Linked DNA regions of Rhinolophus ferrumequinum. The protein of the gene in region 2 interacts with the protein of the main gene of each other region in a pairwise test. Links are inferred from orthologs where the notes say so. Each region holds a gene or a part of one and is shown on either strand. Other genes may lie near its edges.

Region 1 (8,244 bases), on a different chromosome or scaffold from region 2:
TCGAAACTCCTGGCTTTGGACATCGATAGCAAATGTCACGTAACTAGTCAGTTATTAATGAATTCCTTGGGCTAATAATGATTTACAACCCTGCAAGGCATAAGACACAATTACCGTACACTAGGAACCTGGTGAACAAGACAGACATGCTACTGGCCCTCTTGGAGCTTTCAGTTTGGTAATATAGAAAACATGTTACTTATGAAAGTGATAATTATCCACACTTTGAATACATTACCCTTTTATAATGTATAGGAGCATAATGTATAGGAGTATAACGTATATGCTTTGGAGAGAACTTTATAAAAGCCTAAAATTCATACAAGGTGTTTGTAATATAAAAGATGTGTTTTTCCTCATATAGAAAAATTGTATTTGGAGCAGCCCGGTGGCTCACGTGGTTGGAGCGCGTCGCCGGTTCGATTCCCACATGGGCCATTGAGCTGCACCCTTTATAGCTAAGATTGTGAACAACAGTTCTCTCTGGAGGTGGGCTGCTGTGAGCAGCTGGAGGTCGGCATGGGCTACCGTGTGCTGCCATGGGCAGCTGGTGGCCCGTATGAGAGGTTGGCAGCCAGTGAGAGCAGCCAGCTAGAGCTGCCACCAGCTGCTGTGAGCAGCCGACCAATGACGGAAGACCGACTGCCTTGGGGGTGGTAATGCAAGGCTCATAATACCACGAGCATGGGCCAGGGAGCTGTGTCCTACACAACTAGATAGAAACAACAGCTTGAAGGCGGGGGGGGAATGGCATTTAACATTAGTTACCACCACCAACATTCCAATGTCCTTCAAATCTACTTCTGGGACCAATAATCACCACAGGAATCAGAGGCAGCTGGCAATTTGTCCAGTTATATAGGCTTCAGTTTATAAGTATGGGTACCACAGACCATTATAGAACTTAATGTGTTTATTACACAGCTAATGTGCAAAGCCCGATAATCGAATGACTTTATAACCAAAAGTCTTTTGACTGTTTGGTGATTAATAGGAAATCTCTACAAATTAAACTCATTTCTTATCAAAATCTTACCCCATTTATGAAATCATTTAAAAGGGACCTAAGGTATGTGACATGTGTAAGATTCTTGCAGGGGTTATCTATATAATTTTCTAATGTTTCTTAAAGTAACTGATGACAGTAAGTACTTAGCTTCCCACTTTTTCTTGTTCAAGTATGAGAAGGAAGAGTCAAGTATTGATTCTAATTCTGGCTATTATTCTAGCTGTGTGACAACAAACAAGTAAGTGAAACACCCCAAGCCTGTTTCCTTATTTGCAAAATGAGTTATTCTAGAAATCTTCCCATTCCAAAATTAAATAAGCAATTCTAGTAGGACTGTATTTGCTAGCTTCCCCAGTAATCTAGATAATCTTTGATCTAAACTATAAAGATAAGCACTTATATCAGAAGTTTTAAAATATGTAAGTTCAATTATAGAAATCAAGTTTTTAAAAACTACACAAATGTGAGGCCTTTCAAACACTTGACAATTTATACTAAGTATTGCTAATAAGTGGCATTTCTACTCCCCAATTATAGTTATAAAATTTATGTATTTGAACTGCATTATCATCAATAAATCTGTTTCCAACACAAAATATTCAAAACATCACCCACTTTCCTTCCTCAATGTACATTACTGTGCCTATTACTGATTTATAACTACGTTCATCTTAACAATGAATTCTTCAGAGTGCTGACTTTTACTCATTGTATTTGGTTTTTCACCCACCACAACCACTGTCCATCCACTCCTATACACAAAGCTCACAAGAGTACACTCTGAAACAATCAAACGTTGACTAATTATTATTGATTAAAATTATCTAGTTTAATAACTGACTTTACTCATTAAAAGCAGTTTCCTTTATTCACTAACACCATGCAATCCTATGTTCACATTCTGATTTCTCCAAAAAAATGGGGATGCAGATTTTTTTAGAATTCATTTAAAAAATTAAACTACTATAACCTAATCATTGAGCTGCTTTAAGATAGGAGCAATATCTTAAAAACATTCCCACCCTCTCCCCTTGCCAAACTTGCCCCTATCCTAGAGCAATTTGAAGTATGAAGACATTTAAGGAGAAAACTTAAGAAAAAAGCACAGGCCTAGTGCAACTAGACTCTAGAGCCCATTTAACAAATCCCTACCCCAAATTAATTAGGCACACGGGAAGGTAGGTCTGTGAAATACAGGGCAGTAAACTGTGCAACATTTTTTTCTTTATCAAATACAAGCTTTCCACGACTATCATGCTCATTTTAGGGCTGGAAAAGAACTTAAGGAAGCATCTAGCCTACACCATTCTCCAGACATGTACTGACCCAGGACCTACATTCATTCACATCTCTAGGTCTGAGGTCGGTGTTTTAAAAGACACGAGGTTCCATTCTGATACATCAGTTCTTCCTATATTTCTCCATGATTTTATCCCTCCAGCTCTCTACAAATTACACCCATTTGTTCCCGATTATACTCTCTGGGAGCTACACACAATGTGTTTCCATCAAAATAGTGGCCAGGATTTTTTTTTTTTTTTTTGCCAGGCCTAACTCATACAATTATCTATTTTCAAACGTCATGTCTTCCAAAATAAGTATTCGAGGAACCAAAGGGGCAATTCTTTCCACTTTGCCCATATAACAAAAACAGCTTGAAGTTATTTGTAGGTATTTCTCGAGATCAATAATCCATCCATACGACTTCTTAAATATGCTCACTTACTAGACTACCAGCTTTGATCGTGGCATTAAGGGATTTTGAAATGTAGCCTAACAGAAAAGGATGTGCTGAAAATACGCATTACATACGCATAATCCTGCCAGGAAATAAACCTAAGGGCCTGCAACTCAGAACAGGCCTTCTCTCAGCCGCGCCCAGGACAGCTAAACGGAAAGTGAACAGGAGAATTAGGATCAAAGAAAAACCATAGGCTAGATGAAGTGTTAAGTGAAATGGAGACCGAACGAAAGAGCAGGCCTGGTCTCTTCCAATGAGTTCAAGCGTCTCGGTGTGGGGGACCGGCTCCATGTCGGGAAGCTAACCTCCCAACCCCCATCCCGCAACCCAGAACCGCGGTTCCACCGACCCACTGCCGAGCCCCGCCTCCGCCCGTCACCTTTCCTCGCACTAACCTTTCTCCTCCCGGCTGTCGGCCGCCATTGCTCCTCTCCTGTTTCCGCTGCTGCCGCCGCCGCCGCCGTCGCCGCTCCGACGCGACTCGCGCGGGGGCCCCAGCCGCGGCAGCACTAGCACAGGCACGTCCGTCAGTCCGTACGCCGGGCTGCGCGCTTCGCACCTTGGCCTCCACCACTCACCTTTCGCGACTCACCCTTTTTCTCCCCGTTCCTTCCCTTTCTCCTTTCCCTCCTTGCACTCCAGCCTCCGGAGGCCTAGGCCCAGCCTACCCGTTGAGACTTGGGGACGGGAGGGGGCGACAGGGAGGGTAGGGAAACAGATGGCAACGGCCAGCGGCGCTAAAATGGAGCCTGCTTCCTGCGTGAAACACTCCCGCTCCCGAAATGCCCTGCGCTGTTTACGCTTCGTTCCTCCCTGGGAACGTCACAGTGCGGAGAGGGGCGGGGAAGCGGAACAAGCAAGAGAACGTGACATAACGTCAGGACGTCGCCCCGCCCCCTGCAGCCCGGATGTCCCTGGAATAAGGCTTTCCAGAGATTAGGCTGTGTGAGTTATTTACGGGTAATCGGCTGCGTTTACTGCGTTTAGGTAGCTCGGTTTCCTCACCTGAAACACCTACTGGCGGACCTTCCAGCCTCAGGGCAAAGATGTTTTCTGTCGCTCCGCGGGACTCCTGATTCAGTTCTGGGAATCGAAGATTTAATTAGGACAAGTCTGGCCCGGTCCCTTGGCAGCACCCCACAACTTTACCGGCTCTGGGTACTAAATGTGCTTTCTAAGTTGGTGTGCCGGGCCTTCCCAGATGCAGCTCAGGATGCAACCAGCTCACTTGTCACAAAAACCTACTAGTTTTGTTTTTAATTGGGAAAATGAATTATCTTTATTTTAAAATGGCTTTGTAATTCACATAACAGATTTGATTTAAACATTTATGGGGGCTCTAGGGTACACAGTTGATTTAAACAGACTATTGAGAAATTGAAACTCCTGAAGTGACCAAAAATTACTTAACTACATATTATGGTAAAATCTGCAAGGAAACTTTAAGTTGATTGTCCAAAGGAATGAAAATAATTTTGTTTCACTACTTCATAACTGGCTTTATAAAGGAAATATAATTTGAAGGGGAAAAAAGGTAACATTGTTATATGAAAACAAATGACATGTTCAGAGAAAGTCTAGTGTCTTGGTCCTTGATGGTCATTGTAACAAATTGAGACCAAACTGAAGGCAGTGGAAAGATTTATTTAAGCAGTGGAAGAACACAAATAAGAAACTTCAGTAAATACAAAACCCAGCTATGTATCAGATGCTTAGGATTCAAGGGTGAACAGGCAATACTTCTGCCTTTAAGGAATTTTTAGTGTAACATAGGGAAGAAACAAAGTAACAGGAATTACTGTGTAAGAATAACAGCTAAAAATTGTGTTGTTTACTGTGGGCCAGATACTGTTTTGAGCGCTTGACCTACACAATCTGATTTCATCTTCCAGAAAACCAATTAAGCTATATTACTAGCTTTATTTTACATAAAGGGAAAGTGAAGTGATAATGAAATTAAGTGCAGAAGATCAGGAGTAGTAGTAATATGGCTCAAACCCAGGGAATTTGGCTCCAGCCCCCACCCACTTGATAATACACACTGCCTCATATAGAGTAAGCTCAGGATATTATTGGAGCCCTTAGGGGCATGTCGTTCCGACTGGGGAGGGGATACAGGATAGAGAAGAGTCAAGGAAAACAGAAAATAAAGCCTAGTTGAGAAATAAAAGACTTGGCTTAGATGAAGGGGAGAAAGGGCAAGGGTGGTGGGCAAGATGGTTTTCATATAAAAAGAGTACTAAGTGGCGTATCTGCCCATGGTTCAATTCAGGTTGATATTCAATGGTTAGGTAAGAAGAAGCTGAATCAATAAAAGCGTTGTATAATATTCTACTCTTTTGTTCAGTCAACTAGTATTTATTAAATTCCTTTTCAGTCCCAAATTTATTATAGGCTCTGGGGTTAAAAAAATACATATAGCGTAGTATCTGGTTTCTCTCTTCAAGGAGTTTGGAGTGGTCCAGCAAAAGCCAGAAGCTAGACAAGCAAGGAGAAGGATTCTTCCCTATAGGTTTCAGAAGAAATACGGCACTGTCAACACCTTGATTTCAGACTTCTATCTTTTAGAACTATGAGACAATAAACTTCTATTTTAAGCCACCAGTTTCTGGTACTTTGTTATAGCAGCGCTACAAAACTAATACTCTGGCCCTTATTCGGCTACCAATTTGGATACATGAATACACACACCAGCAAGCTTTGAACAATGAATGAAAGTCTGATGATTTTGAAAGAATTGTTAATTTTTTGGTTGTAATAAGTTATGTTTAGAAAAGAATGTTTATAATTTCATGATACTAAAATATTTACAGGTGAAATGATACGGAATCTGGGATTTACTTCAATATATACTGGTAGAGGGCAGTAGGATATGGGTGGGGGGGTATAGATGAAATAAGTCTTGCCCATGATTTGAAACTGGGTTATGCATATGTGAATAGACATACTCTCTACCTTTTTTTTTTAATATTTGACATTTTCTTTAATAATTTTAAAGTAAGGCAGAGCAAGAGAAACCAGCCAAGAAAATAGAGGTGATATTAAGATGACGTTTTCCCTATTCCATATTTATCCTATCAGTACTAAGAAGTAATTGAAAATAAGCTTTAATGTAAATATCCTATATTTAAATCTTTGATATCAAAAGTTACGTAAAAATACAGCACAACTTCTTAAAAATATGATTTTCTTTCATTATGTTAATAAAAAGGAAAAGTTTTCAAGGTTATAATGGATTGAACTCTAGCCTTGTTGGTTTATTCAAGTCAACGATTGTGTAGTGATAAAGAGCACAGGCTTTGCAGTCACAATGAGCCAGTACAAATTCTGGCTCTACCACTCACAAGCATAAAGACTTAGAGAAATTAACCTCTAATCTTTAGTGTCTTTATAAAGGAGAATTTAGGAATTAGTTTCAAAGATTTGCTACAAAAGGGTTAGAAAAAGGCAGTTAAGTGTTCAATAAGCTGGAGCTACTGTTGTCATTTCTGTAGTTCAGGAAAGATAGATTGTTCTACTAATTATTGTTGGTAAAATTAATCAGAAAATGTAGTATTAAATGACTCTAGATAGATTGGCTTAGTTGGCTTAGTTATGGATGCAGATGATTTCCTAAGTAAAGAGGGGTAAACTGAAAATGTACAGCCAATTCTCTTCAGACTTCAGGGATCATGACAACATTATTTTTAAAATATAATGCAGATTCTGAAGGGTGAAGTTCCTTTTAAATTGATGGTATAAATTCAGAATTAAGATTAACAGAATTTTCGTAGCCATGATGAGTTTTGAATTATTAATATAATTTTATTCCTTTCACTAAATAAATAAATAAAAATAAAATAAAAAGTGCCCAGAGGTAACCATGTGCAGGGAAGAACCACGAAAGTATTACCAGATTTAAGCCACCGTTAAGTTGATACTAGAAGAGAGATACTAGAGCACAAACAAAGCTAGGGAAAGAGCAGTGGTAGAGAACTTTGGAGATTTAGGTCTTCTAAGGAGAGACCTCATCAGTACCTCATCAAGCCCCTGATATCTAGCTGATACACCAGAAAGGCCACACCATAAGAATAAGGACCTTGGCCTAAGGTAAAGTCTAATCATGACCTACTCAAAGACTAAAACCAATGCCCAGTAAGATCCACAGGGAAAACAAAATTTGAAGAGTCTTGTATTTTCAGAAACAACTTGGGCTTTCCCCAGATCTGTACCTATAAAGCATAAATCCAATCTACACAAGTTCAGTGATCAGTCTTCATGTGATTACAGTCCTAATCAACATTTGACTGCAAGTCATGAGCCAGAACTGCCTAGCTGAGTGGTTCTGAAATTTTTGACTCACAGAAACTGAGAGAGATCATAAATACTAAAGTTATTTTTAAGCCATTAAATTTAGGCGTGTGTTGTTACACAGTAATAGATACCTAACACACAATGTCGTATGTAAAAATCAATTGTACTTCTAAATATAGCAACCAACAGTTTGAAATGAAATTTTAAAACATTTACAACAGCATAAAAAAATACTTAAATATACTGAAAACTACAAAACAATGTTGAGAGAAATCAAAGAAGACCTAAATAGAGATACTTACTCATCATGCATTGAGAACTCAGTATTGATGTCAGTTCTCCCTAAACTGACATACAGATTCAAAGCAATTCCAATTGAAATCACAGTGGCCTTTCTTATAGAAATTGACAAGGTGAATTTAAGTTTGTGGGGAAATGAAAACGACCTAGGATAACCAAAACAATTTTGAAAACCAAAACAATTTTGGAGGACTAGCACTACCTGATTTCAAGACTTATTATAGGGCCGGCCCCATGGCTCAGGCGGTTAGAGCTCGGTGCTCCTAACTCTGAAGGCTGCCGGTTCGATTCCACATGGGCCACTGGGCTCTCAACCACAAGGTTGCCAGTTCGATTCCCGCAAGGGATGGTGGGCAACACCCCCTGCAACTAAAATTGAACACAGCCCCTTGAGCTGAGCTGCCGCTGAGCTCCCGGATGGCTCAGTTGGTTGGAACGAGTCCTCTCAACCACAAGATTGCATTGCCGGTTCAACTCCCACAAGGGATGGTGGGCTGCGCCCCCTGCAACTAGCAATGGCAACTGGACCTGGAGCTGAGCTGCACCCTCCACAACTAAGACTGAAAGGACAACAACTTGAAGCTGAATGGCACCCTCCACAATTAAGATTGAAAGGACAACTTGACTTGGAAAAAAAAAAAGACTTATTATAAAACTATAGTAAACAAGACAGAGTTGTACTTAGTAAGACAAAGCGATACATAAATCAATAAAGTGTGACACATTCATACTCAGGCCTGAAATACAACATGAATTGCATAGATAATTTGTATTATATTCATATACAGTTATGCAATACAGCATTAAAAATGAACTAGAGCTACTTGTCCGAACGTGGTTAGATTTAGAAAACATAATATTAAGTAAAAAAAGAGCTTTCAGATTTTCACATTGCTATGTA
Region 2 (8,357 bases):
GATGAGGTTCCCCACCATCAACAGGAGCATGACCAGGTCCCAGTAAAACCTAAAGTGGGTGTGGAACGGGGAGTGAGACCACAGTGATGTTTCACCAGCCACTAGACTGACAGCAGATCCTCTGCCCTGGCCAAGACGGGCAAAGATACAGGATACGGGACTGACCACTTACAGCTGCTGGGAGTGGACATTGGACCACCATTTGGGAAAACAGTTTGGTATTATCTCGTAAAGATAAACATTGTACTCCCAGCAATTCCATTCTCTGGAGGAGGTATATACCGGAATAGCAGTGTTAAATCCAGAAACAACCTGAGTGTCCGTCAGTAGGAAACTGTAGATAAATGAGATAAATGCATCTGATCTTTTCATGCCCCTGTATATATACTACGCAACTGTGAAAGCATCCAACTGCAGCCACGTGCCACAGTATGTATGAATCTCACATATTTAATGTTGAGCAAAAGAAGCAAGAAACAAAAGCATACACATCGCATGATGTCACTTGTACAAAGTTCAAAAGCAGCCCAACTCAAGTGCATAACTTAGGGAGTCACAGAAAAATGGTAAAACTATAAAGAAGAGTAAGAAAAGGAGTACCATAAAAGTTATAATAGTAGGTGTGGGAAAGGAATGTGAAGGCAGTAGGGAGCTTATAGGGTACCGCTCTTGACCTAGATAGTTGTTACATTGTTGAGAGTGTGCTTTAGAATTACTCTTTCAAATATATATATATATATATTTACATAATATATATGTTTCAAATATAATGTATATACATAATATATATATAAAACATATCTCAATCATATGGTCCACTATATACTATACCACTCTCTCCATATCTACTATATACATATATAGATAGATAGATAGATACACACTATGTATCTATATATATATATATATATATCTACTACATATCTGTTATGTATAGAATATTATCTATACCCTTAATATATACATATATATCTTCTTAATATATATGTAATATCCTTACTATATATGTGATATATGTCACTATTATTAAATATTTTTAAAGTTAAAAATCAAGTTCCCTGTGCTAATCTCACGGGGTTGTTGAAAAAATATGCACTGAGACAATGGCTGTGACAGTTCTGTACAAGCACTAGCTGGTGGTGTGACTCACCCACTCTATTCCAAGACTCCTCAAGAGGTTGTTGCCCCCCCATCTCAGCTATCTGCCCATTCCTGGTGTAGTACTTCACCCTCTCCCCAGCCTTCCCCACCCCCACCCACCTCCCCAAGACAGTCGGACCCATGGTTCTTGTTTCTCTGCTGGGATCTGCTCTACTGTGTCCCAGGCTGGGGGTGGTCTGTCCTGCCTCCCATCTAAACTGAGCTTTTCAGGGATGCTGCACCCCACTCCACAGAACCTCAGACAGGACTGCCCGTGGAGAAGCTCCATAGGAGATCCTGCGGCCCCTGGGCTTGAAGTTCCACCCTCCTCTCCTCCCCTGACCTCCCTGTGCCCACTGACTCTGAGCCCAGGCAAGGGCATGAGCAGGGGAGAGCCACACTGCTGTGGTGGAAGCTGTGGAAAGAACAGGTCAGGAAGGAGCTAGGTGAAGCCCTCATTCAGAACAAACAAACAAACAAACAAAAAACACCGGACAATTTGAGGGTCCCAATTAACTATGATGGTTTTATTTCCAGGACAAAGCTAAGCACATCATTGACCCAGCACCCAGCCCCTCTGACTGTAAAATCAATTCTTTCAGCCCCCGAAAGAAGCTTGGTGGTCCCCAAGTCCAGGCCTCCAGACAGCCCCTCAGAGTAAGTGCTTTCAATCAACCAAAAAAAAAAAAAAATCCTCGACCCCCTCTTCCTCCCCCGCCTGGGCCACTGGAGAAATCCTGTACTGTGAGCTGGGAGAGGAGCGGGAAAGAGGGTTCTCCCAGCCATAGAGCAACTTCACTGCCAGCTCACAGGCAGGCACAAGCCCGGCGGGTGATGCAGTGGGGAGGACAGATAATGAAGCACCATAATAAGGGAGAGACATGGCTTCTGGGGGTACAGCAGAGGGTGAAATGGGGGAGGGGAGGGAGATCCACAGGAGACTGGAAAAGGGGCATGGTGAGGGGGGAATGAGGCAGTAAAGGAGATGGGAGTGGAAGAAATAATGGGAGAAAGGAACAGTTAGGGAATGTGGAGGTTCGTGGATTCAAGACGATGTCTAGGTCTCCAATTGTATTTCCAGACTCCTGATTTCACGCCTCATCCCTTCGGCTCATTTCGCTCCCCGGGTTGGGTGCTTTACACATATCCTTGCCTCACCCAAAAGCTGTCCTTCGTTTCCCGCAAGGACAGGATTGCTCTCCTCCCCTAGCGACCTTGATGTAGAGGTACAGCCTGACGGGGACGATGAAATGGCCCTGCCCTCACCCTCAGTGCCTTTTCTCTGACAGTCACCTGGGCGGTGGCCATGCCCCCGCCTTGCTGCCTCAATCGCGGAGCCCCAGCCATGCCCCGCCGCATCCCGCCTTCAGCACCAGGGACAGCGACCAGACTGCTGTCAGAACACCCCCCTTTCCTCAGGGTCCCTCTTTTTCCCGGTAACCTGCCTTGCTGAACTAGGCAGGTGCTAGGGGTGGGAATAGGGGGTAGGGTGGGTGGAAGGTAGCGGAGCTCGGTTTCTCCACCAGGCTGACCGCGAGCCTCGGAATATGCCATGATTTCCCAGGTCCCCAGCAAGCAGTACTGGAGGACGCAAGGATCCCTAACTCCAGTAGTCCCTGTGGTCCAGGTGGAGTGCCGGGTTCCTGAAACGGGAAATCCAGGTCTCCGGCGTCTGCTTGTCCCTTCCGGCGCCCCCAGCCTGAGAAGTCATTGAGAATTCCCAGGCTAGGCTGGTGGAAGTGACTCTCTCGCCCCACCCGGGAACCCCTCGGCCGGAAATGAAGTGACCGTGGAGGGTGAGGCGGGCCCGGTCCCGGTGCCGCGGCCGTGGGGGTGGGATCTGCGTCCCCCGCCCTCCTTGCCGGGCCCCCAGTACCGGAAGTCGCTGTAGGGGTGGATAATCCAGGCCCCCGCTGACTTGACCCGCTCCTGCTCGATTTCCACTGCTCTGTGGCTACCGAACACGCGAAGGCAGAACTTGTTGACCGTGGGCTGGAGCAGCGTGCCGAGCTGCCTCCTCTTGGACTCGAGTCCGGATCCGGACCCGGGGATCGGACCCGAGGTCGCGGTCGTAGGCGCCGGGGCAACGGGAGGCACCGCCTCCAGTCCAGGGGTCGCCCGGTCGCCGGCCCCCGTCGTCGGCCGCGGCTCCGCCTCCATGACTCCCCACGGCTTACACGCTTGGCTTCTTAGATCCGGCCGCGGCCATCCGGGACCCCCGGCCCCTCCCGGAATCGGAGCCCGCGCAGCCCCGCGGGCTCGGAGCGGAGGCGTAGTTGGCTGGGAACTGCCAGCGTGCCGGGCAGAGGGGGTGTGGTGACAGATTCCCCCGCGGGCGACGGGCGGGTTGCGCTGCGCCCCCTGGCGAGGGCAGCGCGAAAGCTGGGCAGGGCAGACGGGGGCGGGGCTGTCCGAGAGCCTTCCCTGGAGGAGGCGGAGCCAATGAAGCCGGTACCGGGAGGGACTCCGGGGTAGGCGTGGCTTAGCGAATGGCGGCGGTTGTCCAAGTGCAGGAGGAGACCGCGGGTCAACGCTGCAGGAACAACGGAGAGGGCGTGGCCTAGAGTTGACGGGCTTTTATTCATAGAATGCCAGGGAGGGGGGGACGCCTTCAAATGGCGGGAAAACCGGAAGGTGGTTGTGGTTTGTGAGACCAAGGAGGGCGATGAATTGGGGACCAATAGAAGAGGTGGGGAATGGCTTTTGAGATTCTTCTTTCCCACTCTCGCTCCTGGACTTCCTGCATTCCACTTTCTTTCTCTCCACACTCTAAGCATATTGCTTTCTTCTGTTCTCCACACTGCTCACCCTAGTATTTCCCTTTCCGAGTTCACTCTGCCAACCTTCAAATGCCACTCTGCCCGTCCCTGAGTGGACCCTGAGGACACAACAGTTGGTTCAGATCTCATGTGCTCTAGGAAACATAGAGACACATTTCCCAGGTAGGATCTAGCCTAGAGCTTTCTAACCACTTTTTTCACAAGGCTGCCCTTAACTGTTTACAGGCCTTTCTCTCCCACTAGACTGTGAAGCTCTAAAGAACAGGAGCCTGACACCTGGCACAGTGCGGACACATCGTGGACACTCAGTAAATGCTTGTTGAATGAACGAATGACCTGGGAAAGTGTACTTGGAGGAGGAAGTGGACTCGCCACTGTCCTCTCAGCACCTTCATTAGCCTTCCTCTTTTATTTTAGGGAACTTTTCCTAAACCATTTCTGGCTAAGTGATCTAATCTCCATCTGACAATCCTTCATCCCAGCTCCCCTGATATTCTGACTTTAACAGAGTTATCCTCAGGCTCTTTTACATTTCCCTTTCTATTTCTCAGTCCCTTCTATAGCGTCTCTAATTGCCCAGTTTGTCTTAAGGTCTTCTCTTTCCTCTTCTTTTTTTCAATGCAATAAACTTACACTTCTTATATGGTGTGTAAGTACGTAACATACCGTTCTCAAGTGATCTCCCCTTTTTCAGCATCCGATTCTATATCCCTCCATCTCAAACCGTTCCTTCACGGCCATGCCCCGACCCCACACGTGCATAGCTTTTGTTGAGGAGGAAAGGCGGGAGGCCCTCTTTGCTGTGGTTAGACAGGCGGATTGCTTTAAGAACTGGATATTTACAACCTACGTTGGGAGAAGCAGACCTCAACATCGAGCCTCAAAAGGTTTGCGGAGCGGCGACACTCCCTAAATGACAACCGTTTTTTTGAAACCTCCAAACCGATTTCAGTGAGCCAGGGAAGTCTCAGGAAAGGGGCAAAAGATCGAGAAGGGATAGAGAAGGACACGAGGCGGGGCGGAGCGGGCCTGGCGAGCCCCAGCGACTCCCTCTCCATCGCCATGAACTTCCGCCCCCGGAACCTCCTCGGCTCTCACGGGTCCACGCCCGCGAGCTAGTAGGCGAGGACGCGGTGGCGTGCGCGGCCCTGGGGGCGGAGCCCAGGGGTAACTGGGAAGCGACGCAGGACGTGCGTGCGTACGTACGTGCTCGCTCACGGTGGCGGCGGCGGATCGGAGAGGCCAGACCCGGAGACCCAGCTGGGATCGGGCCCCGGGCGGGGGCGGTGCGAGCGGCGCCCAGCGGATCCTGGGGGCGGGGACAGAGCCGGGGCGGGCGGGACTGGAGCGGAGCCCGGGCACGAGGCGGGAGGTCCCAGGGTCTCGGGTTCGGGGGGTGGAGCCGCACTTCGTCGCCGCGGGGGTGCCGGGACTCCGGCCGCAGTGCCGCCGCCATCACGGACTTCCTGTGGGACAAGCGCACGGGCCTCGCCGCCAGAACGGTGAGCGCGCGGGCTGGCGGGCCGCGGGGTCGCGCGGAAAGATGGCGACCGCGGGGCGGGCGGGGATAGGGTTGAATTGGGGGCCAGGGACCCAGGCGAGATTAGGAGAGGAGGAGGGCTGAAGACCTGCGAAGCGGTAGAGGAGAGAGGTAGGGAGTGGAGGTGGAAGAAGACCGGCTTGCCTTAGACGGATCCGGGAAAACCTATAGGAAACTTGGGAGGGACCAAAGTAGAAGGGATGATGGAGTAGGGATAGGAGTGGTTCCAGAAATGACAAGGAGCAGGATATCAAAGTTGAACCAAGGCTGGAGAGGGGCAAGACACCACCGTGTCCCTTGGAGGATATGGAAAGAGTTTGACTTCAGAAATTAGTTCTGGATTTCCTGAGTGAGAAAGGGAAACAAAAGACTTAGAAGTTGGACAAGGTTGTAGACGGGAGACGCTTTGTGGGGTTACTTTGGTGGCAGTCTGTATGTGGGGAGGTGACATTTATGTGGCTGTGCTAAGCAAGGTTGGGTTACCTGGGAGAATCTTGTGCTTGCATCTTCTTGGCTTCCTGCAAGCCCTGTTAGGCCAGGCATGAATCAAATACCAGCCTCCTCCTCAAATTGAGGAGGTTGGAAAGAAGTAGCTCCGAGTGGGAGCCAGATGCCGGAGTCATTAGCCTTTCCACAAGTAATGCTCCCTCCACCAAGACTTCTGTCTGTCCCTGGGCCTATTGCATTTCATTCGGCCCTCCTGTTCTCATCTTCCTGGATTGTGACAGTGATTTATCTTTTGATTCTTTCCCTGAAGGAAAAAAAGGATTTGTGCGCCACACCATTCCATTCCCAATAACTGGAAGGTGGCTGGCCCTTAGCCAGGTGGTGCTGATACTAATGAAAAACCAGTTATTCTGTACTTCCTAAGCACAAAAGGGGAGGGGCCAGATGGGAAGCTGTGGGAAGCTTGGGGCTGCCTGAATTAAGACCTCTCCAGGGCGGTTTGGCTGGAGATGTGAGAGGTGATTAAGACCCAGGGCCCTAGAACTTGCTTATACACTGCTGTATGTAGAATCCTGGTAAACGGGATTCCTGCCCTTAGAACCCAGATGGTCTAGTTGGGGAGGTAAAATGCACCTTTAATAACCATAAAACGTTTATTGTAACAGTGTGCACTAAAGCTTTATTCTGTAGAGTTGTGAGGAACTCCGATGGCACAGACCTGGCTTAGATTCCAGCCAAGGATGAACTATGGCAGTTGCCACCAGCTCCACCATTTCACTCGTAAGGAGCTGTGGCCCAGGCCTGCACGGCTTCATGGAGCCAAGTTGGAGGAACATCAGAGGAGGGCAGTGCACTGAGTGGGGCAGAATTAAGGGATCCAGGGGGTGAGGGGAGGCTTCCTAGCGTTTTCACCCAGAGTTAGTAGGTGAACGTATACTCCATTGAGGAGGTATTGTGGGTACAGAGGAAGACTGAGGAGGTTGGTGTGGGTGGTAAAAAGAGAGAGAAAGGCAGAAAGCGGCTTAGCACCTGAGTCCTTGGGGACACTTCTGAAAACCCCGAGCTTTCCACACTATTTCTGTTTTTCCTTCCCTTGCAGATGCCCCATCCCCGAAGGTACCACTCCTCAGAGCGAGGCAGCCGGGGGAGTTACCATGAACACTACCGGAGCCGAAAGCATAAGAGGCGAAGAAGCCGCTCGTGGTCAAGTAGCAGTGACCGGACCCGGCGGCGGCGGCGGGAGGACAGCTACCATGTCCGTTCCCGGAGGTGAGGCCTCATACTCGGCGTCCCTCGTGTAGTCGGTTTACCTGCTAAGCAGCTGGGAGAAGGGGTGCTCCCGGTGGACAACAAAAGGAGGCACATGCCCTGTGGTGTGAGAGGGCTGTCATGGAGGAAGGGTACAGTGAGGGGCCGAGGAAGCACCCAGCAGGTTTGGTTCAGGGAAGACATCCTGGACAGCATGGCATCTAAGCTGGTCTGAAAGATAAGGGAGAAACGTCCCAGACAAAGAGTAGGAGCTAGACGTGGCTAATGAGCCAATAGACGAGACAGGGAGGTCTGCATGGTTTTAATAGCTTAGTGGCATATTCAGGGGGAGCGATGGCTTAGGGACAGTTTGGAGCAAAGCTGGATGTCAGGAAAGACTCGAGAATGAGATGGCTGTTTGTTCCATTGAGTCAGTGCAGGGGTGAGGAGCACCCAAAAGGCAGTAGTTCTGCCCATGTCTTTTCAGAGGTCTTGGTGACAGGCAAGGGGTGAGTCGTCCTCGTGCTTAGTTCCTTCGCATCTGTCATCCTTGGTCCTGTCGGAGTGACGTGTTGAGTGTCTGAGAGCCATTTTTCCAGCAGTACTTTTTGTCCTCACTGAGGGAGGACGTCGTACTTGATGTGGCAAGGAACGTGGCCTGAACAGATGCACCTAATGGGTGTTTATTGTCCAACAGCAGCTATGATGACCGTTCATCAGACCGGAGAGCATATGACCGGCGGTACTGTGGCAGCTACAGGCGCAACGACTACAGCCGGGAGCGGGCCGAGGCCTACTATGACGCGGACTACCGCCATTCCTACGAGTACCACCGGGAGAACAGCAGCTATCGCAGCCAGCGCAGCAGCCGCAGGAAGCACAGGCGGCGGAGGCGGCACAGCCGGACATTCAGCCGCTCGTCTTCGGTGAGTGCCAGCCCAGCCCTCTGTCCCCACCCCCTCCTCCAGCCCTCCGGGACCCCGGTAAGTGACAAGTGTCCTGTGCTCAGCGGAGCGATAGGGCATGGACACAGGTGGCCGCTGAGTCTGTCTGCTCTCCTGGAAGCTCTCTGGCTCTCGGAGGGCCCTGGCACCTGCTTTGGAGATGGATGGGCACGGGGCGCTGTGAACCCCGGTGCCCCCCCGGCATGCGGGCCTTGTGCTGGGAGCAGCTCCTCCCCAGAGGCCTGCATCCTCTCGGGG
Region 3 (7,848 bases), on a different chromosome or scaffold from region 2:
CCAAAAAAAAGCTATTTAAGTGAGTTGCTTTCAGGTCTGAGAGCCCATCAGAGGCAAAGCGGGGGCTCCGTGTTAGAGCTATCTGGCTTTAAATTCTGTGCTCAGTCCACACTGACTAATTTTGGTGAATGACAATGAACTTGTGCCTAAAACATGAGACAAAGAAAAAGAAAAACGCTTTCAGGTGAGGAGCAGGTAGAACTTTGTTCCAACTAAATTCCGCACTTTGTCAGTAAGAAAGGTGACAAGTTTGGCTGAAAGAAGGGTGTTTTCATTGACTAGTGTTGGTACCGATAACCGGAGTTCCTAGAACCACTGGGCTCCCAAGTCTTGAAAAATCAAGTCGCTAATTTTTATAGCTGTCTGAGAGAGGGAGATTTGGGGGACTAGGTCCATTCTTAAAAGCCTAAAATTGAGGAAGCAGTTTTGTTTCTAGCATCCAAATCATAGGAAATTATCCAAAAGGCTAAAAGATGGTCACCCATAATGTTCCAGTTATTGGGCCTATTATCTAATGATAGCTGATTGAGTAAATATATTTTTACATATTGTACCATGAAGTGTTATAATGTTTAATGGCAGCATGTTTTGGAAGTTTTTAACAACATAGAAAAATGCTTATGAAGTGGCATTAAATGAAAAGAGCAGGACGTATAACATCGTGTCCTTAGAGTGAGCTCATCTGTTTAAAAACATATACATGCAAGTGGGAAAAACTAAAAGTACTTATCTCCGAGCATTTAGATTACTATTTCTTTTTAAATCTTTTTTTATATTGGACTCTTTTTCCCCCCACAAATGAGCATGTAAAATTTTTACATTGGGAATAAAAACATCAATGATTAAAAACATAAAAATACTAGAAAACTCTGCTTTGTAAGTGGAAGTGGATGGGTTCTCGACTCTTAGAACAAGCATTGGCTAGTTCACAGCTGCTTTGGGAAAGTTGTGGCGGCTCAAGCAAGCCAGGCTGGGTACCCACAGATGTGCCCCAAGGTGGCATTTCCTGTATAAAAAGTGGACAATGGACTCAGTTTGGTCGTTTGGTGAAATGGCCCCAACACTGCACTCCAACCAACATGACAGCTCTGTGACCACAGGAATGTCCCTAACCTAAGATTCAGCTTCCTTGTCTGTAATATGGCCACAGGGGCCCTTACCTCATAGGTCATAAAAACAACAATCACAGAGGCCCTGTAAAATGCATTACACCCCATTTCGCTAACTCCCATTTTACATGTGAGGGAATTGTGGTTTAAAGAGATTAAGCAGCTAGCCTGCCGGAAGACCTTGAGTGGAGTCAGAATTCAAACTTGGGCCCCTGGCTTCAGGGACTGAGCTGCCTCAGCTGGATGAAGAAGGTACCTGGTCACCTGAAAAGGCTATATCCATGTGGGCTGCTATTATGATGACAGCATGGCACAGTATTTTGTTGTGAATTCCAAATGCTTTTGTGCGGATATATTTAGAACCTTCTGTGGAAGATGAGACTGAGAAAGATTGCTGATTAGATGCTGTTTTGATTTGTGAAGGGAAAAATGCCTGCCACAGAAATCTCATTTCCTGTTGGATTTAGCTTCTTAAGAAGGGTCCGCAGGGAAGAGGTTCTACACAGACTGGGTTTGATTGCTCACTCCCCAGTTTCTAGCTCTGTGACCTACGGCGAGTTGTCTCCCCTTTCAGAGCCTCTGTTTCCTCACCTGTAAGTGAGAGCAGTAACCCCTACAGCTCCTGGGGTGGTTCTGAAGGTTAAGTGGGAAGGGTGCCATATGCCAGCGGGCAGACCACTGGGGTCATGAGTTCTGATCTCCCTGGGACTACTTAATTAGCCTGGAAGGACTCAATCAGTGCTATCTCCCCTTATTAGTATTATTATTCCAGCTTCAAATAGGTGTGCCTGAGTAGGGTTTGGGTCTGGCAGCCTGAGTTTCCACATACTATAAACTTGCTCTCTGGATGAGCTGTGATTTGGTGTCAGTTCACTGGGTAGCCCCAATTCTCCCCAGTGCCTCCCTTGGTCAGCCTGGCAGAAGGCCTCCTGAGCTGAGATGCCCTGGCTCCTCTCTCTATACTGGTTTCTCAGGAGCCAGATTTCGGGGTCCCCTTGGGTGTCCTTGACGCTTCCAACTCGCACCTACCCATCTGCCTGGGTTCCAACCCCACTCTGGCGGAGGTCCTGGTCAGAACTGGCCCCATTCAGTCCCACAGGGAGAGAAGAGCAGAAAGCAGCAGTGCTCACTGTGGTGCCACAAGGCAGGAAGGTGGTGGGCTGATTGGCTTCCCCCAGGGGCAGACCCTGGGAGGAGAACAACTGGACTTTCTGAGTAGGCTGAAAAGTAGCAGGAAAAGGGGGCAGAGGAGGACTGCCTGCCTCCAGAAAATGCAGGGAAAGAGGAAGAATAGGGTAATGCCTACTAGATAGGGTGACCAACCACCCAGTAGGCCCAGGACTGAAGGGGCTACAGGGAAGCAGTTTTTATGCTAAAAATGGGCAGTTTTAGACGCTGCTAGTAATGGGCTGTGCAACCCAGGGCAAGTCCCTCACTGCTTAGCGACTGCCTCTTCTGTGAAAAGGGAACTGGACCAGCTCAGCTCTGGAGAGGTGGGGAAGGTGTGTGTTTCAATTCTGTCCCCAAGGCTGTAGCCCCATGAACAGGTGGTCGGGAGGATTTGGGGAGTGGGTACGGGCAGGGCTGGTGAGGGGAGGCCAGTCCGGGAGCTCAGAGCCTCAGCAACACTTGTGCTCCAGAAAGGTTTCTTCCCTGGGTAGCCCAGGGCAGTCCAGAGCTGCGGGCTGGTACAGACCCCTCCGGGGCTGGCAGGATGGAGGCGGAGGCAAGGGCGGGAGCAGCACCAGCGCGCATGCCCGGTACTCCCTCGCCTTCCAACCCGGGCCAGGGTCTCACAGAGGGCCAGGGCTCCTACCTGCAGGCCGTTTGGGTACCCGTCACCCTCGGAGAGCGAGTCCACCAGGTCTTCCTCGTCCAGCGTGGCCCGCTTGTAGGTCGACATCTGCAACGCCAAGCACAGCACGGACTCCCTCAGCGCCTCCATGGCTCTCGTGCCCGAATGGGGAAGCGGCCCGGGCGCAGCCACCACCACCGCCGCTGCGGCGCCCCGCCCGGGACACCGAGACCGGCCCACCGACCAGCCCGCCGCGAGGGAGGGGGGTCCCGCCTCCCCCGCCCCCTCTGCGCTTATGCAACCCTGCCTCACCCCCAGCGCCGACAGCACTGCGGCCACACATTCGGCATGCTGCACCCCGCATCGCCTGGGTTCCCGACGCCTGGGTCCCTACCCTTGCGGGGGCTACGGCGCACCCAGCTGATCCGGGCGGGCTGGGCTGCGGTCCCGCCGGCATCACGCCACCTTTGCGGGTGGGGCCTGATCAGCGCGTGTCTCCGGTTCCCTCCCTGGCTTCACCGGGAGACCCCCCAAGGTGTGGGAGGTAGGCCTCCCTTTCCCAGAGGGAGAGGCCCCACCACGGCCAGCCCCTAAGGGGACAGGAAGGGGCTTCGCTGCAACCTCTCCTAGGAAACCTGAAGTCCCCCTTCAGTTATCTTCAATGGCAGATACCAAGAGTCAGGTGTCAGGAAGGTGCCACAACACTCGACAGGATCTTCCCTCCAGTGGCCCTTAGGTGTGTCAAGGGCCGTTTGAGCTACAAAGATTGGGGTGAAAAGAGATAAAATAAAAAAGGCAGGTGTCTCTCCTCTCATTTCCCCCTTCCTCTAGCCCAGGGGTCTTTAAGCCAGAGTTCATGAATGATTTCAGAAAACTCCAGAATTCCTCTGACCTAGAATGAAAAAATAGTGTGTGTGCATTTGGGTGGCTGGAGGGGAATCCCATGCTTGCCTCCAGGCTCAAAGGTGTGACTCTCCTCCCAAAATACCGTGTTTCCCCCGAAAGTAAGACCTAGCCAGACAATCAGCTCTAATGCGTCTTTTGGAGCAAAAATTAATATAAGACCCGGTATTACATTATAGTATACCTGGTAATACCTGGTCTTATATTAATTTTTGCTCCAAAAGACGCATTAGAGCTGATTGTCTGGCTAGACCTTATTTTTGGGGAAACACAGTATTAAGAACCCTGGCTTCAGGGCTCGCCCAATGACTCAGGTGCTTGGAGCGCGGGGCTTCTAACGCTGGGGTGACCAGTTGGATTCCCACATGGGCCAGTGAGCAGCGCCCTCTACAGCTAAAATTATGAACAACAGCTCTCCCTGGAGCTGTGCTGCCTGTGCTGCTGTGGGTTACCATGGGCTACCGTGGGCTACCGTGGGCAACCGTGGGCTACCGTGGGCTGCCATGTGTTGCCCTGAATGGCCGGCAGCCAGTGTGAATGGCCGGCAGCCAGTGTGAGCGGCCGGCAACCAGCGAGAGCTGCCGTGAGCAGCCGACTGGGGACTGGCAACAGACTGCCTCAGCCAGGGAGGGAGCACAAGGCTCACAATACCAGCATGGGCCAGGGAGCTGTGTCCTACACAATTAGACTGAGAAACAACGGCTTGAACCGGAGTGGGGGTGGAGGCAGAAGAAAGGGCAAAACAAATACAAAAACCCTGGCTTCAGCTTCAGAGTTGGTCAAAGACCAGGTAACCCTTCCCTCTCTGGAGTCAAGAGCCTCCAGCACCCATTCCCCAGCCCCCGAGACCTCTTAGGGGCCCTGTGACCTGGGCTGAAAAAGTGGGCTCTCTCCAGATGTGGAGTGGAGTGCTCAGGCAGGGACTCTGGATGCCCAGCACTCTCTCTTCCACCCAAGACCCTAACTCAACAGTTCCCCAAAGGACCCTCCACTTCTAGTGAGACCTGGAATCTCCTGCCTTTATACATTTTTTCCCCCAACTTTCCAAAGTGCACATCTGTTCATTCCCATATTTGATTCTCACAACACACATGTGTGAAGCAACAGACTCAGAGAGGAGAGGTGACTTTCCAGGGTCACAGCCACAGGGACAGCTCCTGGCTTCCGCTCCTGCCCTCTTCGCCTTCTCAGCAGCCACAGTGAGCCTTGAAAAAGGAAATTCTGATCTTGCTGCTCCCTTGCTTAAAACCTCTACAGGGACAGTCCCTTTACCAGTCCCCCATTGCCCCTGCTCATCCTGACCCTCATCTTGTGTCCCCCCCACTCACTTAGACCCCAACTTGTTTCGCCCTCACTCTGTTCCTCAGATGCTACAAGTTTCTCCTGCCCACCACCCAGACCTTTATAGTGCTGTTCTATCTGGAACATACTTTCCTATCTCTGCTATTCCCATGGCCAGCTTCTGCTTCCGATCTCAGCTTAAATGTCATCTCTTCAAATGTCCCGACTACCTTAGTAACCTCTCAAATTCTCTATTACAGCACCCCATTTTTCCCTTTATAGTATTTACTGCAGTCTGTTATGTTTTTTTTTTTGTTTTTACATTTACCTACTCTCCCCCAACCCCCTCGACCCCCCGAATCGTGAGCTTTATCAGGGCTGGGACCTTGTCTGGCACAGAGAATTCCCATCACTTAGCATACTACAGATGCTCAAAAGACAGGTAAAATGAATGGTGGAACAAGTGGAGGGAAGTGACAATTACTCTGGGGCAGTACCTTTAAATTCTTGTGCATCTAGCTTTGCAATGCCCTAGGACAAAGGTGTAAGGGGCACAGGTCTCCCGGGAGGCAGAGAACTATGGCAAGAATTTTAATTCTGGAGTCTTCTGCCTCCCTCCCGCTGGGTGGAGTTCCCATTACCCACCCGAAAGAGAAAGGGTTCCCAGGCTTCTTCACTTCACGCTCGGTTACAGCTGGGCTTTATCTGAAACCAAGACACTTGGTTATACTAAGTAACAGGTGTCAACCACCCAAGAAAAAGACCCTTGACAAAGAAGCATCTCCCCAGCCTGGCACAGCAGGTCCTATTTCCTAGACACCTAGGAGTGTGAGGTATTATTTGTAAGTTCTTTTACACCCATCAGCTCATTTAAGCCTCCTGCCCTTCCCTCTGAAGCAGGTATGACTGGCCCCTTTCACAGAACCTGAAATTGAGACAGGGGAAGTAACTTGCCCAGGGGCGGTGAAGCAGTGGTTCCTCCTCCTCTCATTTCAGAGGTCACCCCTCCTGGGAAGCTCTCCTGACCATCTTTCCCTGACCCTAGGTGGCGTCTGGTCCCTTGCTCTGCGCTTCCCCCACACAGCCCCCAACCCCATGCTTCCTTCTATGGAAGCACACAGCACTCTAGAGGGGAGAGCCTTGCAGGCAGGGGCTGGGTCTCCTCTGGCTGGAAGCCCATGGCGGGTGGGGCGGGGGGTGGGGGGGGGAGTCAGGCCCAAGGCAGCCTCTCTGTGGGCGGATGAGGAGGGAAGCTTACATACCTCCCAAGCAGACGTCCGCTGAGATGGAGCGCTTTTATTTTTCAGCACACAAACGATGAGGGGCCCTTCCTGAAATGCCTGCTGCCCGGCCAAAATGAAACTGAACCCCCCTCAGGTGTGCGAATGGCTTAACCGGCTGCGCTCACTAGGTGGGAGCACAGACATGGTAGGCCCACTAGGTGAGCGGCATTGCAACAATGGCAGCCCTATCTTTGTACCCGCCCCCAGCTGGGGCGGGGCCTTCCATTCACCGGCTCGTTGGATCCGCACCCACCTAGAGCCTCAGCCTCAGCAGGTATCACTTCCATTTTACAGAAGTGGAGGGGAATGGGGGGAAGACCCAACACCTACTATGTGCTGCTTGAACCAAATGTATCTCTCCTGACCCCACGATGCCCTGTGAGATGGGAATCAGCACCTCCACTTTACAGATGAGAAGACTGAGGCTTAGGGAGGAGGGAGGACTGGCCTCCCTTGCTCCCCCAGGTGGGCTGGCTAGAGAGCAAGGGAGCTGAGATGTGACTCCTTGCCTAATGACCTCACGATGCTGCCATCAGAGAACCCCAGCCATACAGCTAGTAAGTGGCAGAGCTGGGCCTAGAACCTGGGTCCTGCCTCCTGGTCCCATGATCACTGAGAAAGGGGGAGCTGCTTCTTCATGTGGGGACCTCATGGAATCTGGGGACTCTGAGGTGGCAGGGTGGCCAGCGACTGAGCTCCCTAATTGCCTCATTTGTGGCTGTGGGTGCCACAGCTGGCCACGAGCTTCAAGGAAACAGGGACAAACTCTGTTTTGTGGGGAGCCTCTGCCTTGATCTACTCATCCCTCTCCTGCCCCACCCCACAGAGCCGTGGAGGAGAAATCTGGGCCTGGTGTTGATGAGAAGGGCTTAGCGGAGACCAAAACTGGAGGAACCACAGCTCGTCCTCCAGCTGCACAGAGAAGGTGGTGAAAGTCAGATGAGGGTGTGATGGTGCCAGCTCTGGAAACACCACCCTGTGGAAATCAAAGGCCTGGGGTGAACAGAACTGAGAAATATTAACGCTCACGTGGCTCTGACAACGAAGGCCTCTGGCCAGTGGCACCTGGGCATGATCCTATTTGTCTTGAGTTAGTCACTCAGATGCTTCTTGTGGTTGGTTTGCCCAAGGCAGGGGATCTTCAAAGAATTTTGGAGAAGTGAAACTCATAGGCCTGGGACTTCTTGGCCACACTCGCGATCTATTTTCATGGTTGATTTCTAAGCCTCAGCTCCTTAGGGATGCAGCCCTTTGTGGCCAACGGCCTTGTCAATTCCTGCCTCTCCAGTGCCATTAATTAATTAGCTGTTGAATCTTTGTATGTTATCTAATACACACTCATGTTATATGTTAAATACTTACATTTAACGGATACAATGATATAGTAGGTAAAAGCTCTAGATTCAAACCTTAGTTCAGATCCCCACTCTGCCACTTCCCAGCTGTGAGACCTTGGGCAAGTGACTCAGCCTCTCTG
Region 4 (7,473 bases), on a different chromosome or scaffold from region 2:
TATGCAGCATACACTGTGTTGTGAGATTTATAGCACTATTCTTTTTAACCTTCACATCATTCCTAACTTGATATTACTGTCTCTATTTTACAGGAATAAGAAAATAAAGCTTAGAAAATTAAGTAACTTCTCTAAGGTCATAGTTAGTAAGTAATAGAGTATGGACATGAACCTATATCTAACACCAAAAATTTCCCTCTTACCTACCACTATGTTGTTTTCTTCACCCTTGAGCATCCAGTGACTGAAATATTTTTTGTGGGGGAAAAGTTACCAAGACTGAGAAAGTAAAGATGATCAATACAATCAAAATAGACAAAATACAAATTCAAGAGTTCAACAGCAAAATCCTAGAGTGGAACTCTCTATGCAAATGAGATTCAATGTTATCACTCCTCTTAACCAAAGCCAAATTCAGGACTAGTGAAATTGAAGCTTTTGTATTAGCCAGTCAACATTTCACTCACTTGAAGTCTTCATTTTTTATAAACTCAACAATAATATCCTTCTCCGGTTGAATCTGAAGCATCTTCAAGGTCAAACACAGAAAGGGAGTTGGTTTTATGTTGCCACCATAGACGCCTCCCACAAACCTTAACTCCATGGCTTTATCGACTACAAGTTCAGCTAAAAAAGACAAACAAACAAAAAAAACAAATAGAGTGGCATCTCAGATATACTAGGGCTAAGATTTCCCCAGTTTGAAGTGGAGAGAAGTTAGTTCAAGGTTTGGTGCTGTGAATACTCATCAACAGTTTACTATTAGGAGAACAAGTGTGTATTAATAGTAATAATAATAAATGCAGATGATCATGCATTGTGGAGTACTCTGAGTACCTGCCATGTACTCTGCTAAACATTTCATGTTATCTCATTTAATCTTCACAATAAGCCATGAAGTAAATTACAGCACTGTCCCTGTTTTCAGCTAAGGATAATGAGGGCTAAGAAAGGTTAAGTGACTTGCTCAAGGTCCACAGCCAAAAAGCAGCAAGTCCTGGATTTAAATCTAAGCAGTCTAACTTCAGAGTCCACACTTGTCACCATCATGTAGGGGAAAAACTGCCAAATTAGGAATTAGAAGTGTCAACATAAGAACGTCCAAAGCTGCAGAGAATTTTTGTTTAAGAGTTTATTTGAGCCAAACTGATATGCTGGGAAGCAAAAAAAATCTCAACTGCTCTGGAGAATGAGTTTCACATTTCTTTTTATACATTTAGAACTAAGGAAGTGTGGGAGAAAGCAAGGTGGGGGAATCTCTATGATTGGATTACAGAATAGTTAACAAGATTATGTGCTCCCAAAAAGAGGATTACTCTGACATTTCAAAGCTGTGTTAACCTAGATGCCAACCATAGACAGGGCTTGCTTCAGGCAAAGATAAACCTTTTACTAAAGAAGTTACAATCCTGGGGCATGACTACACACAATGAACTGCCCAGTTAAGAATTTATGATCAGAGCATCCTGTGGAGTTACTAACATGTCAAATCGACTGCAAAGCTACTTTTTCAGTTCAAAAAAAGAAACAATAACAACTCAATAGCTACATAACCTTAAGCAAACCTCATCTACAGAATGGGAATAATAACCTTTCAATGTTGTTGTCAAAATCAACACTAGCTATGTGAAATGAACTAGGGCAAGTCATTTCACCTCTCTTTGGGCCTGTCAGTTCAAATTTAAATAATAAAGGTACAAAGTTTAAGAGCTATAGTGAGAATCAAAGAAGACAATTCAAATAAATGCTAATGCTTACATGACAAACAGCAAATAATAAATGTTAGCTACCATTAATGGGAAATCTTTTTATATACTAGACGTCAAATTAGGATAAATTCTGTATTAATTCATTCAACATTACAGTTGACAGCTTATAGCTGGGTGTTAAGTACTAGAGATACAGATAGAGGGATAAAAAAGAGGGACACAATTATTACTCTTAAAGAGTTTACAGTCTGGCAAGGCAGAAAGCATCGAAAAAGTAACTGAAAGTGTGATGAGTTGAAAGAAGACACAGAATGCAATGAAAATATACCACAAGAGAATACAATCTAGTGTTGGAGGCAAAAGTCCTGAGTTCAGTTTTGGACATATTGAGTTGGCACGTCTTGGAATTAGATTTAGATCTCAGGGAAAGATCTGTGTTGGAGAGATGAATTTGAAGGCATCTACATGTACAGGATGTAACTATGTTATGGAGATCATCCAAGGAAAGAACTATGGAACGAGAAACTGTGCTTCATCCATGGAATCCTAGCTCGTGGTGGTGGCAGCAACAGTAACAGTACATACCGTATTTAACACTGGTAAAAAAAAAAAACTAGCACCACCATTACCATTGATCACTGACTACTTTTTATCAATATATACCTGTAATCATACCAAACACTTTTTATACATTATTGCATTTAATTATTAGAACCACCATTTAATTATTGAGGGAGCGGGAGGCGGGGGTAGGTATTATTATACTCGTTTCACAGTCAAGGAAGCCACGGCTCACTGGAGTAACAGAGCTACTAAAAAGAGGAGCCAGAATTCCAACAAAGATGAAAAGACTACCTGGCAGGCTTCTCTGAAGAACTGGTATTATATTAGGACCCGAACATGGAAATACTGCAGATGGTCCAAGTTTAGGGATAGTAAGATCATGGATTTGGTTCTGGTCACGTTGACTTTCGTTTAATGCCTTCCCGGGTTTCCGAACTTAACACTGGAACCCACCAAGTTATCATTAAACATGAAATGATTCAAAGAACACAACCGAGACACCTTTCGGAATAAGGCCCTATTATCTGTGTACCCAAAGCCCAACACAAGTCTAGGCACATAGTAGGCGCTCAGGAATCTGAATGACAAATTCCCCCCCAGTCTCACCCTCAGGGGGTCAGTCCCGTCGGCGCCCAAACAGGAGAACTGTGCCACAAAGCGGCCGATGGGGAGTCAGTGCGCTTCCACTCACCGGTAAGCCCAAAGCACTCCTCTTTCCAGTACTTGGACTCATAGATTCGCGTCCGAATGATCTTCTCCACCAGATATTGAGGGTTGGTGCCGTGGATGCTGTGCGCATCCTTTACTGTGCGGTTCGCCATTTTAGAACGCCTCCAGTTCTATTTCCGTCGGGTCCTTTAGTACGTCACATCTACGTTAAAAAAAAATCAGAACTGGAGAAAGGCGGAAGAACTCTCATTTTAAAAGCTTAGGCGACCATCTTGAGACCGGAAATGCTGCAGCGTAAGGAACTTTCTTCCGCAAACGGCGTCGCTGATGGTATCAATGATGGACGCTGCACGTTGACGTACGTACGTCATGCATACTCTATTAGGTGGGCGGGACGGGAGGGCTGGCTGGTGACGGAACGTGGAGACAGCCTGAGGGCGGGGCCACGACGTTTGGCGCGAAATTTTATTCTCTCCACCTTCTTTCCATTCCTAGCAAGGAGCCGGCTTCTGCTCCGGCGTGCGGCTCGGTGGCTGCAAGAGGAGTCCATCTGGAGCAGGTGAGAATTGCTGCAGCTCCACGAGCTCCTGAAGCGGAGACTGTGGGAAGTGGAGGGCTTGCGCCTAGCTTCAGGAAGTTTCGGCGCCCGGTGAGTGTGGCGTCCGGCCGGCTGGAGGGGAACCTGAGCCGCGGGAACTGAGGAAGTTGTCCTTTGTAGACTCAGTCATTGATTCATCCAGCAGATATTTACTAAGCCACCGTTAAGTGCCAGGCACTGTTCTAAGCCCATTAGGAGCGTTCCTTTCCCACATCCCGAATGTTGAAAGTCTTCTCGCTACACCAGGGACTGCAAGTTTTTCAGTGGGGTAGCCGGAAGCCAACAGCATGGAAGCATGAGCATTGCCACCTTCAGCGTCCTGAGACTCTCAGTAATGATCTTAATCATCCCTTCTATCTGCATTGCCCTTGTGAAGCATCGCATCTGTTCCTCCTTTGAGTCGTAGTGTAGCAAGCACCACCGAGAAGTCGGAGCTGTAGAAGTTATTACCCCATTTTACGGATGTAGCAATTGCTCCTGGAGACAGATCAGGTCTAGGTCGCTTTTTGTGGCTGAGCGGTTTGGGCTCCTACCCAGGTCTTTTTCCAGTTGAGCTGCTCTTAACTGCTGGTCACTCATCCACTCCACCTTTCCAGGAGAGAACTCTAATGACGCCTTTTCTACTTTCTAACCCTAGAATGCCAAGGCTTTCTGTTTTGACAGTTGGAAAAAGCACTGGGTTTAGGCATAAGATGCAAGATTCTTATCCTGGTGCGCCATCTGTAAACCTGCAATAATTAAATATGTTAGTTTTTTATTTTAATAGTCTGTAAAAATGGGTACTGGGTGCTTGTGGACTTTAGAAGGTTTATGAATCCCCTGAAATGAATGCAAAATTTTTGTGTGAATTATATGTGAGTTTAATAACATTCATCAAATTAGTAAAATAAAAAGAACCTACTGCCTCTTCCAAATAGAGCAAGGGATTAAGGAAGTGGGAGTGAATTTACCATTTTGCATTTTTTTACTTAATCCCCAGTAATCCTAGAGCAGAGTTTGGCACACAGCGGGAGGTTAATAAATATTGGTTGAATAAAAGGAAGTTTCTGTTATTATCTCACTTTATGGGTAAGGAAATGGAGACCCATTTGTTCCCTCAGTCAGTGTCTGGAAAGCCTGAATTATTATAATAAGCACACCAGAAGCAAGTTCTCTCAGGCATATATTTAACATTATATACTGTAACATAAGATGAAGTGGTTAAGAGCAGTCATTGGAATCTGGTTGCTCAGGGGTTGAATTAAGACTGTGCCATCCTGTATAACATTGGGACAAGTTATCATCTTGAAGTTGATAATGGCATCTACCTTTCATTCAGCAAATATTTATTATTGAGTGCCAATGTGCACTTAGTACTAAGTACTAGCATTGTTCTAGGATTATTGTGAGGATTAAATGAGATAAATTTAGCAAGAGTTTTGGCTCAATAAACATCTGCTATCATTATTTTTACTGCAACTCCCTTACCTGTTTTTCTTGGGTGTGACCCCTGGGCTGGGTAGTATGTGTGTTCCAGATATCTGGTATCTGCAATCCTGAGAGCCTGTAGTGGGTATCTCCTGGAAGCCAAAGCCTTTGCTAGGCCAAATCAGGTCTGTCTTCCCACCCCACTCATCACGCCTCTTGGGGACTATTTCTGCTGATGGTGGATGGGATGAAATGCTGGGTGGAGGGTAAGAAAGTGAAAAACAATACAAAGAGGCCTGACATCTACTATGATTTCCATATGCTGCCGCTTCAGAAGGACTCCTGATTAATTTTTTGAACTTTAACATACATACAGAAAAGTACACAAATCAGAAATGTGTAGCTCAATGCATTTTTTAATTGTTTAAATTTTTTACTTTATAATCTCTGAGCTAATCTGCCAGTTTTAGAAATAGCATGTCAGTGAGTTTTCTTAAAAAGAACATACCTATGTAACTACCATCTAGTTCAAGAAATAACATGACCAGCATCTCAAATGCACCCCGCGTCCCCAACTGTGCACCTTTTCAGTTACCTTGGTTACCTTCTATTCTCACTGCTAACACCAGAGTTTACTTCTACCTCTTTTTGAACTTTATATAAATGGAGTCAATATAGTGTGTATTCTTTTGCTGATTTTTTAGCTCATTGTTATTTTGTGAGATTTTCCCCATTTTGTGTGCAGTTGTAGCTGGTTTAATTTCATTGCTTTATAATGCTGCTATGACCATTCTGGCTCATGTTTTTTGATGATGTGTTTTTTTGTGGGTGTATTCTGTTGGAATTGCTGGATCATAGGGTATGCTTGAATAGATACCTCCAATTTTCCAGAGTAGTGTTACCAATTGACACGCCCGCCAGCAGCAGTGTATGACACTTCTGGCTGCTCTACATCCTTACCACATTTGGTATTGTCCTAATTATTTACATTCATTTCATTCACTTTTTCATTCACCTATTACGAGCCAAGTCCTAACCTAGGCCCTAGGGACACAGTTATGAACAAGACAGACAAGGTTCCAAGATCCCTGCTCTTTTGGAGGTTAACATTCTCATGTGGGAAATACAATAAATAAAGTAACATAGTGGTTATTGCTTTGATAATAACGTGGTATAATGGAACACGATCCCGAGGGGCAGTATAAAGTGTGGGGGGGTAACTTTCCATTGGGTATCAGTGAAGGCCTCTCTGAGGATTTTCCTCGCAGTTGAGCCCTGAGCCATCCCTGCAAATCTTTGCAGGAAGAGGAGAGGACGGCAATTGCCTAAGTCTGAGGGCACTAACAGCCTTGGTCTGTTTGAGATTTGGAAAAGCAGGCCTGAAGCAGGTTGTGCAGTCCAGACCCAGATAGTCTTCTTTCTATACCCCCTGCCTGCTCAGCCTAGGGTGAATCACCCACCTTTGCATATATGCATACACAGTAGTCCCCCCATATCCACAGTTTCGCTTTTCGAGGTTTGTTAACCTGCATCAGCTGCAGTCTGAAAATATTAAATGGGAAATTCCAGAAATAAAAATTCATAAGTTTTACATTGCACATGATACTGAGTAATGTGATGAAATCTTGAGCCGTCCTCCTGTTCTATCCCGCTCAGGACTTGAATCGTTCCTGTGTCCAATGTTGTCTATGCTATATGTGCTAACTGGTTAGCCAGATCCGTTTATCAGATTGGTCACCAGCTATTTTGAAAGAAAGACCACAGTCACATACCTTTTATTACAATATATTGTTATAATTGTTCCGTTTGATGATTAGTTGTTAATCTCTTACTGTGCCTAAGTTATAAATTAAACTTTATCGTAGGTATGTATGTATAGGAGAAAACAGTATACATAGGGTTCAGTATCCACGATTTCAGGCATCTACTGGGGTATTTAAATGTATCCCCTGAGGATGAGTGGGAACTGTACTGGTTTCATTGAACACAGCTCATGATCTAGAAAAGGAATGTTAAATTTTATCTTGACTTGGTTTTGAAGGAGGATGCCTGCTTTGTTAAGCTAAAATATGATCTGGATTTAGAAGAATTGAGAGTATGTATTTGATGTATTTGATGCGTGAGTACCTTATTGATATGGAGGTAGTCCTTCTGTATGCCAATTTTTGGTTTGAAAAAATGAGATCATTGTGCCAGTGTAACAAAATGTCATAGTCAAAGTGACAAATCAGGCCATTTATCTTACAGTTAGATTATTTAAAAGTTGTAGAAAGTTTGCTGAGAGATACCAACTTGCCATAAAACACTCTCCCTGATATTTCGATTTTTTTTTTTAAATGACAGAGCTTAGTGAGTACTTTGAATTACTTGCATCTTTTATCTGTATCCATCTATTTTGCCTGATTCATCGAGGAAAGGTGAAAAGTTTTAAGTTTACTTCTGAACAGTTCTGTGTTACATGAACCATTAAAAGGAACATATATTGAAGGTAAGTTAGTGTTATATATTTCCTTGAACATTTATTGA

What was found.
Region 1: the proteins of CLK2 (region 2) and YTHDC1 interact in binary tests that used the Homo sapiens proteins (3 or more experiments, as listed by UniProt). The two-hybrid records come from large-scale screens. The link is inferred for Rhinolophus ferrumequinum from reciprocal best matches to the Homo sapiens genes CLK2 and YTHDC1.
Region 3: the proteins of CLK2 (region 2) and ECE1 interact in binary tests that used the Homo sapiens proteins (3 or more experiments, as listed by UniProt). The two-hybrid records come from large-scale screens. The link is inferred for Rhinolophus ferrumequinum from reciprocal best matches to the Homo sapiens genes CLK2 and ECE1.
Region 4: the proteins of CLK2 (region 2) and PRPF38A interact in binary tests that used the Homo sapiens proteins (3 or more experiments, as listed by UniProt). The link is inferred for Rhinolophus ferrumequinum from reciprocal best matches to the Homo sapiens genes CLK2 and PRPF38A.

The regions. Positions count from the first base shown.
Region 1 is NC_046288.1:27,395,379-27,403,622, reverse strand, and holds the start of YTHDC1 (YTH domain-containing protein 1), read right to left. Parts: upstream 3,279-8,244; 5' UTR 3,174-3,278; coding exon 3,146-3,173; intron 1-3,145. UniProt on the Homo sapiens protein: Regulator of alternative splicing that specifically recognizes and binds N6-methyladenosine (m6A)-containing RNAs.
Region 2 is NC_046305.1:290,380-298,736, reverse strand, and holds the start of CLK2 (dual specificity protein kinase CLK2), read left to right. Parts: upstream 1-5,123; 5' UTR 5,124-5,422; intron 5,423-7,006; coding exon 7,007-7,176; intron 7,177-7,852; coding exon 7,853-8,081; intron 8,082-8,357. Other genes in the region: HCN3 (potassium/sodium hyperpolarization-activated cyclic nucleotide-gated channel 3), read right to left, coding at 1-49, 3,017-3,300. UniProt on the Homo sapiens protein: Dual specificity kinase acting on both serine/threonine and tyrosine-containing substrates. Phosphorylates serine- and arginine-rich (SR) proteins of the spliceosomal complex.
Region 3 is NC_046292.1:14,414,619-14,422,466, forward strand, and holds the start of ECE1 (endothelin-converting enzyme 1), read right to left. Parts: upstream 3,055-7,848; coding exon 2,926-3,054; intron 1-2,925. UniProt on the Homo sapiens protein: Converts big endothelin-1 to endothelin-1.
Region 4 is NC_046292.1:37,401,911-37,409,383, reverse strand, and holds the start of PRPF38A (pre-mRNA-splicing factor 38A), read right to left. Parts: upstream 3,281-7,473; 5' UTR 3,095-3,280; coding exon 2,965-3,094; exon of another isoform or gene 2,880-2,964; intron 628-2,879; coding exon 468-627; intron 1-467. UniProt on the Homo sapiens protein: Involved in pre-mRNA splicing as a component of the spliceosome.